Callithrix jacchus: one gene and its partner. The protein of the gene in region 1 interacts with the protein of each later gene in a biochemical or structural test. Links are inferred from orthologs where the notes say so. Each region holds a gene or a part of one and is shown on either strand. Other genes may lie near its edges.

Evidence for each region. The genes of interacting proteins can lie anywhere in the genome.
Region 2: the proteins of ITPR1 (region 1) and CABP1 form a complex in vitro, tested with the Homo sapiens proteins (2 studies listed by BioGRID). The link is inferred for Callithrix jacchus from reciprocal best matches to the Homo sapiens genes ITPR1 and CABP1.

Annotation. Positions count from the first base shown.
Region 1 is NC_133516.1:61,802,114-61,807,697, forward strand, and holds part of ITPR1 (inositol 1,4,5-trisphosphate-gated calcium channel ITPR1), read left to right. Parts: intron 1-1,564; coding exon 1,565-1,684; intron 1,685-2,627; coding exon 2,628-2,825; intron 2,826-5,328; coding exon 5,329-5,580; intron 5,581-5,584. UniProt on the Homo sapiens protein: Inositol 1,4,5-trisphosphate-gated calcium channel that, upon inositol 1,4,5-trisphosphate binding, mediates calcium release from the endoplasmic reticulum (ER).
Region 2 is NC_133510.1:123,771,868-123,778,108, reverse strand, and holds the start of CABP1 (calcium-binding protein 1), read right to left. Parts: upstream 4,119-6,241; 5' UTR 4,059-4,118; coding exon 3,408-4,058; intron 1-3,407. UniProt on the Homo sapiens protein: Modulates calcium-dependent activity of inositol 1,4,5-triphosphate receptors (ITPRs). Inhibits agonist-induced intracellular calcium signaling.

The DNA.
Region 1 (5,584 bases):
CTTGTGGAGAATGGGGTGTCCATCCCCTCAAACATTGATTCTTTGTGTTACAAATAATCCAGTTCTATTCTTTTAGTTATTTTAAAATGCACAATTATTGACTGTAGTTACCCGGTTTACAGTCAAACAGTAGGTCTTATTCATTCTTTCTATTTTTTTTGTACCCATCAGCCATCCCCACCTCCTCCCTGCCCTCCCACTGTCCTTTCCAGCATCTGGTAACCATCCTTCTACTCTATGTTCTTGAGTTCAATTGTTTTGATTTTTAGATCCCACAAATAAGTGAGAATGTAGGATGTTTGTCTTTCTGTGCTTGGCTTATTTCACTTAGCATAACGACCTCTAGTTCCAGCCATGTTGTTGCAAATGACTGGATCTCACTTTTTCATTTACTTTTTTTTTTTTTTTTTTTTTGAGATGGAGTCTCACTCTGTTGCCCTGGCTGGAGTGCAGTGGCATGATCTCAGCTCACTGCAACCTCTGCCTCCTGGGTTCAAGCAATTCTCCTGCCTCACCTTCCTGAGTAGCTGGGACTGCAGGTGTATGCCACCACACCTGGGGAATTTTTGTATTTTTAGTAAATACAGGGTTTCACCATATTGGCCAGGTTGTGCTTGAACTCCTGACCTCATTATACTCCCACCTTGGCCTCCCAAAGTGCTTGGATTACAGGCATGAGCCACCAGCCCAGCCTCATTCACGTTTTAGCACCTCTTGGTTATCAGTTAAACACTCCCCGCCTCATTACAATCAGTAAGAGTCTTGCAAGTTCAGTTGTTGGTTGAGCATTTTTATTATAGATTAGTGAATTATATTGATTGTATCTCATTCACACAGATCTGCCCCTCTTCCTTACGCCCTCCTCCCATTTCCTTCCCCTTCTCTTATCCTTCTAATTAAGACCCACATTTTCAGTTGAAGTGGGAAGCAATTGACAGTGTGGGTCTCACAGATGATCACAATGGAGTGCGGACACAGTTGCTGTAAAAACACCTACTACCATCCATGAAAATAACCCGCATTTTCTGGAGTCTGCTCACAGGCCAGGTAGTGAGCAAAGGAAGCACTTTTCATGAATTATCTCATTTAATCCTCGGGACACCCCTCAGAAGTGACACATTATCCTTTTCTGTAGATGAGCACAGTGAAATTAAGTAATTTCTCCAAATAACACTTCATATCAGAACTCCGCTAATAAGATCCTAACTGGGCTTCCAACAATGGTAGCCAACATTGGGGCACTGCCTGTCACCACTGTGGTTCCCCTGTGTCTCCAACACCCCTTCCATGTCAGCTTCTTTCTTGTCTTGTTCCTTCTTCTCATCTTTGCCTCATCACCTCTTCCTTGATCACAGCACTACTGTCTTTCCTCGTTGCTTTCTCTTCTTTCTTTCTGACATGTGGGTTTCTAGGGCTGCCATAAACACTGACATGGAGACCTAGAATGCTGCTGACTTGTCTTGGTAAAGGTGTGTTGGACCTGTGCACTTAAGGAAGAGTTGGGCTCCAAGAGCCTAACCTCTGCTCTGTCTACAGAAGATGTTTTGTGTCTGTTTCTGGATAGATTCTTAGATTACCTCTCCGACCTCTGTGTCTCCATGAACAAATCGATTCCAGTGACCCAGGAACTGATATGTAAAGCTGTGCTGAATCCCACCAACGCTGACATCCTGATTGAGACCAAGTGAGTGGGGAGCTGGGGTGTAGATGGAAAACCTGTGGTTCAGTCAGTTTTGGCGCTCATGAGGAATAAAACCCGGCCGTCATTTTCTGAGTTGATCTAAAGTCAGTGTGGCTGGCATTCAATCTTCCTATTGGAAAAGTCTTGGTGGGAGAATTACTGAATTTGATTTTGGGTGGCCTCCTCTGCACAGTGGTGCCACTTACTTGGCATACAAGTTTAAAAGTCATGTAAACTCACCAAGGGGCATTTTACACAGTTACATTCAAGAGTTTAAAACTCTTTGTAAGTATGATCATCAATTTAAAATCTCAAATGACATAATTAATATTCACTGTTAAGATTAAGTCAGTGTTGGGAGGAGTTTTAAATTACTGTTCAGAAAGTGTTTATTGGTCTGCAGAATTTTTGTTAACAGTAGTAATTCATTTTTGGCAAAGGAACAGTTTTCCCTGACAAGTACAGTGTCAGTAATATGGACAGTATTATTTTTAAAAAAACTAAATTATGTCCTGAGCTGGTGGTACTTCTTTGATTCTCCTTATAACTCAGTTTTGGGCTTCGGTGAATGCAGGGTTTCTCAGTTCAGGTGCTTTTACATTTTGGGCTGGGTAATTCTTTGTTTTGGGGCTGTCCCAGGTACGGTAAAATGTTTAGCAGCATCCCTGGCCCCTACTCACTGAGATGCCTCTAGCACCTCTCCATTTCAGTAGTGACAACCAAAATCCTGTCCAGAGACATTGCCTAACGTCCACAGGGGGCAGCAGCACTGGAGTGGAGCACTGGGGTACAGTGTATGAAGACATTAATGTCAGGCCCTCTACGGCTCTGCCCCTGGGGAAAATATAAAACAAAAAGTGGCTCTCCATATGTCTTTATGCTGAAAGTGAAGCTGGATCTCAACGTATTAAAATAGTAACTTTTCCCTTCTCCTGTTGTTTTCTAGGTTGGTTCTTTCTCGTTTTGAATTTGAAGGTGTTTCTTCCACTGGAGAGAATGCTCTGGAGGCAGGAGAAGATGAGGAAGAGGTGTGGCTGTTTTGGAGGGACAGCAACAAAGAGATTCGCAGCAAGAGTGTGAGGGAGTTGGCGCAGGATGCTAAAGAAGGCCAGAAGGAGGACCGGGACGTTCTCAGCTACTACAGGTGTGTGGGACATCAGTGCAGCTCGGATTGGGGTGCCCTGAAACAGGGACACTTAGGAATTTGTTGTTCATTTGTTGTTTACTTCAAGGAATCACAAGGTATCATCTTGTGATGATACAAGGTAAGATTGTCTAGGTAAAAGCCAGAAGTGTATTTTAGGAGTTTAGAGTGTAAGATTTCAGTCAATTGGCATCTGCATGTGGCTGGGTCCCAAAAAGGATGAGTGCTCGCATCAGCCCCTGGTGACAGTTTGTCCTTAAGCAGCATGGCCCGTAGATATGGCGGTAGGTAGGTAAGAGGCTGGCTGTGGGGTCAATTCCTGACCTCTCCACTTAGTAGGTTTTTGACGTTGGTCAAGTTTGATTTTATGCTCTAATTTCTTTATCAGCAAAATAAAGGTGATAGTGCCAATCTCACCAAATGTTTATAGAGAGAGCCAGTAGGTGTGTGTGTGTACGTACATATACCTACATATTCATCCACATATTTGTTTATGTCTACACAAATAAATGATAAAAGTCATATGCTTACGCTAATACTTCCAGTTTCATTCCAACACCATAGAGTTTATTCTAGCCTTCATCTTTTCCGTTTAATGACTCCCTCCAGCTGCCATGATTCCCATGTTTGCCTGTCTGCCCGTTCCCCTGTGTGTCACCAGTCTCACTGCTGCCGGCCACCTCCTCAGTCCCCAGTGTTTCCTTGGCTCCTGCTCTAAGACCTGCCAGCCGTGCCACCTGAAGGGAAGGGAAGGGGAAGAAAGAAGGGAAGCAAACCAATAAATACTTTAGAAAAAAAGGAAAGGGAAGATCAAAGCTTTTGTTATTTTTAACAAAATAAATAAAACTTTGCAGATAAAATGCCTTTTCTTGCCTCCTGTGTTCTGTTCTTTCATTCATGTGTGATGTGTGCATCCTGTCTACATTCTCTGTGTACTACACTTGTGCGCATCTATACATCATATATAGTATTTAAACTGTACTTAAAATGTTATATAAATGGTACTTTACTCCAAATATCGTTATACAACTAGCCTTATTTATTCAGTATGGGACTGAAGCATATCTGTGTTAATAGAGGTTGATCCATTTCTTTAATTGGGGCTGCTAAATGATATTCTGTTTTATTGATTTATCACATTTTCCATCACTGTTTGGTATTTGATCACATGCCACAGTTCTTCATGTCAAGAAACTTCTTCATTCAAATTTTTCTGAGTATATGTATGAGTTTCCATTCCACACTGGGAGTTGGGCTTGGAGAATATTCACATTTTAAGCTTTACTAAGCAGTTGTAAAGTGGATGTTTCAGTGTACACTCCCACCAGTTGTAGATGACAACTTTTGTTTCTTCATACCTTCGCTAACCTTGAATACCGTGATGCTTTTTAATTTTTGGTAATTTTATGAGTGTGAAATAGAATCATGTCTAAACCTGCATTTCCCTGATGTCCACTGAAGCTGAGAGTATCTTCAAATCATGGGTATTAGAAATACATGGGGTTTTTATTTTTTAAGACAGACAGACACTTTGTCACCCAGGCTGGAGTGCAGTGGCTTAATTTCTGCTCATTGCAACCTCCATCTCCCAGGTTCAAGCAATGCTCCTGCCTCAGCCTCCTGAGTAGCTAGGATTGCAGGGATACACCATCACACCCAGCTACTTTTTGTATTTTTAGTAGAGACAGGGTTTCACCATGTTGGTCAGGCTGATGTCGAACTCTTGACCTCATGATCTGCCCACCTCGGCCTCCCAAAGTGCTGGATTACAGGCATGAGCCACTGCACTCGGCCAAGGTTTTAAATTCAGCAGGCAGAGTCTGTTAGTTTGAAAGCCTGTCACTTTGTTGTTATTTCACATTTCAAGTATGTTTACTCCTTTAATGTTTCTTGAATCTTCTCCCAAGTGAATGAAAGAGTGCCTTAATTGGTCAGATTCTAGTTAACCACATTCACTTACAATTGAATGAAGATGAAAAGTGAGGAGTCCCCTACTTTTGTACATGAAATATTTTTTTTTAACATGTGTAGGAATTAGAGTGACTTACATGATATAAAATCTTTAAAATGTTACCAGATTTCTAATTAGGCTTAATATATGTGATATCTTTAACATTTCCTATATGGTCTTACTGTATAAAGCACAGCTGGAGGAAGAGAAATAGATAACTATCTTAGGGCTTACCATTCCCCCCATTTATTTTACAAAATAAATAAGGACCTAACGGAATAAGGTCATCAAACAATTGCTCCAACACAGCTGGGCAGACACATGTTCCTGTTGGCTATCAGCCCACACTCTGTTGCACAGCTTGAACCGTTCTTTTATCTGCTTGGTACCACAGCCAAAATCCTGGTGTACAAGAGCAATATAGGGGTGTCGATGTATGAGTTTAGTTGGCCAAATGTCACTCCCATGAAAGTCAGGGCTGCCTGGACGACCCTGCATTCATCCCGAATGATTTCTGGAGCATGAGCTGTGTACAACTGTTCTTTCCTCTAGATATCAGCTGAACCTCTTTGCGAGAATGTGTCTGGACCGCCAATACCTGGCCATCAACGAAATCTCAGGCCAGCTGGATGTCGATCTCATTCTCCGCTGCATGTCTGATGAGAACCTGCCCTACGACCTCAGGGCGTCCTTCTGCCGCCTCATGCTTCACATGCACGTGGACCGAGATCCCCAGGAACAAGTCACTCCTGTGAAATATGCCCGCCTCTGGTCAGAGATTCCTTCAGAGATCGCCATTGACGAGTGA
Region 2 (6,241 bases), on another chromosome or scaffold:
AACAAACCACAGGAACTAAGGAAACCCCTAAGTCCAGAGGCTGGGTGACACCATTCATTCATTCACTCCTTCATTAAATACTGTGATCCTGCCATGTGCAGAGCAGTATGGGAACGGGAATACCCTTTCCGTGTTGGAAGACATGTTTCCACAGCTGGAAAAATGGGAAGGATGGGACAGAGCTGTGGGTTTTATCCACATTTGCCTTCTGCACAAGGCATGTTTCTTCTCAAGCTCAGGGTAAAGAGCAGAAAGCCTGTTTCTTAAAATAGTCTTCTAATACCCAAAGCTCCATGTCATCATTCCTTTGCTGTTAATTTCTGACATCATGTCTTCTCTAGGCAGCTGGGTGGAATGTCCTTACCTGGCCACAAAGAGGGAGTAGGGAAGAGCCTTTGACATTCAGCTCCTTCCCTTAATAGCTGTCCTCACCTGGCTCAGAGTCAGCTTTCAAAGTACCTTACACATGCCCTCATTCAATTACTCTATTAATAACAGCAATAACATTAATGAAGGCTGCCCTTTATCCAGCACCCACTATGAGCCAGGCATTTGATATCCTTAATCTTGTGTAAGCCTCGTAATAACTGCAAAGCAGTTTTTGTCAATCTCCTTTCTGGATGAAGAAACCAAGACCAGAGAGAGAAAATAACATGCCCAAGGTCACAGAGATTGAAAATGACAGAGCCAGGATTGGAACTTGCATCTCTGCTATCTTCCCAAGCCTCCATTCCACGACTCAGCCTCAAAACTGTGTGGCCTCCATGCATATGCAATAAGGTTGCTCTGTGAGGTCACGGGAGAATCTTCATCCCTGTTTCCTTTAAGGTAAGAATTCATCTTGGTGCTTTCAGAGTCAGTCTGAACCCTGGCTCTCTGAGACCCTCTCACAAATGAAGAAGAAAAAAGACCTTGGTAGTTAATCAACAATAACCACAACAAGAAGAATAACTAACACTGACAGTTAGGACGGGCTGTGTGCCAGACCTGGGCCAAACTCTATCTCTCCGTATCTCATTTAATCTCCCAAATGTCCTGATGATCCCTATATTGCAGGTGAAGAAACAGAACTTGGCCAGGCATGGTGGCTAATGCCTGTCATCTCAGCACTTTGGGAGGCTGAGGCAGGTGGATCACTTGAGCCCAGGAGTTCCAGACTGCCCGGACAGCATAGTGAGACCCTGTCTCTATTATGAAAAATATTTTTTAAAAGAGAAATAGACTTAATGAGGTTAAACAATTTGATTAAAAACAAATGGAACTTGGGGAGACATGAAAAATATACTTTCCCCAGGGCTATATTTTGTCCTAAGCAGATCTTAACTAAAAGTTTCTCTATTCAGAACCCCATCTGCCTTCTCTTGGTTCTGACCCTGTCTCTGAGGACAGAAATCTCAATATGGAGAAAAAAGAAAAGATGAATTCCTCTCTGTCACGGGAGACTGGAAGCTCTGTCACAAAAGTCCCAGCCTGGGTTTGTTGTTCTTGTTGCTCATGTAGATGACTTAGTGGTGTCAGATGGGAGCCCAAACGGAATATTCTGGGCTTTAAAGTAAAAGCCCGCAGCTCTGAGAAGCAAGAGTTTCCAGAGGGAGGTAGTAAATATTTGATGGGAACTTCCAGCTCCTCCTGACTTGGGTGACCCTGGTGACATTTCAGAACACTGGGCTGCAGAATTCATTTAATGTCTGAGAAATGAGGAGAAACAAAAGCATGTAGCTGCAATGCTCAGAGCTCAGAAAGGGCTCATGTAGGCAAATTCTGCAAGACAGGAAAGAAAGGGCTCTTTTTTCTTCTTTTTTTTTTAGGAGCTGAGTCAGATCAGCAGCAAACTGAGTAACCAGAAAGTGTATGCTTCTAGGCCAATGACCTACCCTTCCAAACTGCTAGGCACAGCCAGGGCCCTGGCTATCTGGTTCACTGTTGTCTTCCTGGTGTCCGCAAATGTCTGAACAAACCAACCACAGGAACTAAAGAAACCCCTGAAGGTGTCCTTAATAAGTGCTCAAGAAATATTTGAGAAATGAATGAATTGGTATCACCCATTCAACAACACAGCGTTCCTACTGCTGTGTTCCCAGCCCTGACCACTGGTGCGCTGACACTGGTGCCTCCTCACTAACACCAAACCACTGCAATGAACTCCCCTGACACATAGCCTCACTAACTCTCACAGCTCTGCATCCAGAGAACTATTTCCAGCTAACTTGGCTAACGAGGGCTCCCTGCAGGAACAAAGCCACACACCGCTGCCCTATGGCCCCACCACAGCAGCCCCGCACAACCCAAATCAATGTGTGGCTGCCTTCATGTCAGACCTCCACCAGCAACAGCCACTGCGGAGTAGTATTTTGAAAAGAGATGTGCAGATCTGAAGCAAAACACACAGGGCCTCCTTGGAATCCCGATTCAGTGTGGCAAGCCAGGAGCTCGAAACGGCTTCTTTATGCTAGATCTTAGCACAGAAAGGCGCAGGCCCCCGTTTCCCTACAAACCACGCAAACACTGTAATCAGACCTCTGCATGACACCTCTCCGCGGCTGCCACAGAACTGTCTCAAAGCTGTGCCAATGAGTTTGACTTGATTACAGACTCTGAACTAGGGGAAAGCCTGGCTTTCCTCCTTTCTGCCGAACCTGTCTCCCCAGCAGCACAGCCCCAAGCTGTAGACTTGGATTGTGACTATGGAGTAGCTTTTAAAGGGCAGGTGTCCAGGTGCCTGGGACTCTTGAGGGAGAGCCCTGGGGGAACGACTGATGACCTCTCCGTGGCCTTTCTGACCCTTCCAATGGCATCCCTGGAGTGACAGCTTCCTTAAACCACTCCAAAGTTTCAGTGTGAACCACAACCCCTCCATGCCTACCCAGACACCGCTTCTCTTTCCTCCTATTTTTGAATCTCTTAACTTTTCCCAGGCCTTCAGGGACAGGATAGGCAGTGGCTAGCGTCCCTCACCCTAAGTAATTCTGTGTTCTCTGCAGTCCTCTCTCTTGACCCCTATACTCCAAACCGCTTGCTCTCCTGAGTCGCACCCTGACGGTACTGGCCAGAAGCCAGAGGAGTGGGTTTGGCGCCACCTGCTCGGAGCACCCCTCCTCGATCCCCGCGAATCTCCAGGAGGGTCGTAGAGGTCGCTCCCTTCCAGGATTGGTGGGTTCCGGCAGTTGTGAGAGAAGCTAGGCGGGGACGCCTCGCCCCAAGAGGCCCGGAGCGTGGACAGCGCACGGGGTGCTGAACCAGGCATAGGAGGAGTGCCGGCAAGGGCACTGGCCCCGGGAGGAAGAGGTGAGCCGAGGTGTGACCCGTGGGGGCCACGGGCCGCGGGAGGAGGCTGTGGACGCGCAGCCACGGCCGGCAGGGTCCTGAGCGCCTTTCCCCGGAGCGCTGGCGGGAGGCGCGGCCCTTACCTGGCCGAAGGCGGAGCTGAGCATGGGGTGCAGCCGGTGGAGGAACGGGTCCGCCTCGGACGCAGCGGCTGGAACGGAGTCCCCGCGGCCCGGGGCTCGCAAAGAGCCCCGGAGGCCGAGCGCCGGGGACAGTCCCCGTTCCTCCCCATCCCGCCCGCGGGCCAGAGGCAGCGGCGACGACGGCGAAGGTCGGGACGCCGCAGCCAGCAGCGCCTCCCGGGGCCTGCAGTGCGCCTGGGGGAGCCCACGCTGGCTCCCCCGTGCGCCCTCCTCTCGTGGCGCCGGCCGGCACAGGGGCCTCCGCGAACTGGGGTCCCCAGACGACTGCGGCGTCCCCGGGCAGGAGCCGGGCAGCCGGCGGCTGGGCAGCCCCGGGTCCCGGGCAGGGCCGTGGCGTGGAGCCCGGCTGCCCCCGCTCGCCGCCGCTGCCGCCTTCAGCAGCGACGTCTTGGACTCGCTTTTGGCGATGTGCGAGCTCATCACGGCGGGGCCCGCGCTCGCATGGCCCGGCGGGGGCGGCGCAGTGCGGCGCGGCGCGGGACCCCCGGCGGGCAGAGAACGGGGCGCCCGGCGGGAGCCGAGCCCGAGGACGTGCTGGAGGCGGGCGCCGTCCCCCGGCCGCTTAAATGCGGCCCCGTCGCCGCCGCCCATGTGACAGCGCAGCCTCTACGCCCGGAGCCCGGAGCTCCCGGCGGCTGGCGGTGCAGATCTGGGGGCGCTGCCGGCTGTCCCCGGAGAGCCCACCCCCAGCTCCCTGGCGGCCCAGGTACCGCCGCGCCCCGCCCCTTGCCCCGCCCCACCCCGGGGGAGCCCCGCTTCCAGGCGGCCCCTGGTGGTGAAGGGGACGCAGCAGCAGCGTGGAGCAGGAACGCAAGGAGGGAAGGGGCTTGGCAACGGGCCCCAAAGAGGCCGAGACCCCGGGAGCTCCGGCAGCGCTCTTTATCACGCTGCGAGGAGGCTCCTGCCGAGCCCCGGAACCGCCCGAGCCTCCAGAAATGCGGGCAGGGTGCACTCTCCAGGGTGTACAACTTTGGCAATGAGGACCAGAGAGGTCCAGGGAGAACTGGAGACCCGAAGAGCATGAAGGCACTCTATGACACCACTGCCTACAAATGCAGGGGCCAGAACGCTATGCAGGACACTGCCGGGAGGAAAGGCTTCATCCACTCCGTGGGGGGCTGCCTCCACCCCCAGTACCATGCGGGGTACTAGGATGACACTGGTAAGTCAGCCGCAGGATATCAGTTCTCAAAATAGAAGAGAAGCCAGGTCTGGACAGCACCTGATGATGGTCAAGTCTCAGGTAGGACCCATTTGCTGCCCCTCCAGCCCTTGTCCCCTCTTTCACCTTCATGCCTTACTAAATGCTAGAGAAATTCCTGCACTTGGTGCGTAGCCAGGGAGCCTCCCAGGTCTGAGCTGAATCTCAAATGCCAGCTCTGCCACCTACCATCTGGGTAACTTGGGCAGGTGTCATCAACCTCTCTGAGCCTTGTTCTCTTCGTCTATAAAATGCAGATGAGAAGCATAACTAATTTCTTGGTAACGGCAGATGATACCACATACACAAAAGGCCTAGCCCAGTGCTTGGACAGGGCACAATCCAGTTAAGTCAGTTCCCTTCCCTCTATGCCTCATGAGGCCCCATCTACCACTCTGCTTTAGTATCTGGTGTTTAAGATTTGCAGGGGACTGGAGGGGTTCTCCCAGGCTCTCCCTGTTCTGGTCCCTGGACCCAGTGCCATCCACAGTCTGGTCACTGCTCAGCCTCATTAAAAGGATACACAAGGCCAGGCGCAGTGGCTGATGCCTGTAATCCCAACACTTTGGAAGGCCGAGACCAGCGAATCACTTGAGGTCCAGAGTTTGAGACCAGCCTGGCCAACTTGGTGAAACCCTATCTCTACTAAAAATACAAAAATTAGCCAGGCATGGTCGCAGGCGCCTGTAATCCCAGCTACTCGGAGGTACGAGAATCACTTGAACCCGGGAAGTAGAAGTTGTAGTGAGCCAAAATTGGGTCACTGCACTCCAGCCTGAGCACTGGGAGACACAATGAGACCCTCTGGCAAAAAAAAAGAAAAAAAGAAGAAGGATACAGAAACAGATTGCCAATATTATACTTCCCTCATGCCAGGGGTTCATCCTTCTCTGCACTGCTTCTTTTACTTACCCATAGGAAAGGAATTAAGGAAAATGGGATGGGCTGGGAAAGCAACTACCCAGAGGCTAAAGTGAACTAGGAAAGTGTGGCAAAGCTTTCCCCAGATCAGCTACCGTTAAGAGACTGAATTGCCATATCAAAGCCACTCAGGTTCCTAAAGCCCAAATCCTGAAGCAGGCCGGGGCACTGCAGCCCTGAAGGCTCATTGCAGGGTATGCTGGGATTTGCAGGATGTAATGAGTCCACCCTTTGAGTTTGAGGTCAGTCAATGTCTTACCTATTCCAGCCCTCAGAATAATCAGTGTTTGGCAGGATTAAAAACAAAGGCACATTCAATATAAATGACAGGAGATAAAGAACTTTATCAGAATCCCTCAGGAGCAGATGAGAGGCAAAGGACTGCCAGGTATTCTAAATCCCTGCTGTGCCACTCTTGGTAACCTTTCTGAAATGCCTAGATATTTTTGGGCAAGACCTCGGTCACCGACTAGTTTCTGAAAAACTGAAGAATCTGAGTGTGTTACCAGTGATTACTAGAGTAAATAAATGAAAATGATGGCATGAAGCAAATGGATGAAACGCCTGCGCTCATATCCCAGATAATCCTGGATGCGCACCAGGATTCCATTCCACTTGTGAAAGGTATTAATTTGGTCACTTATTTAACAAC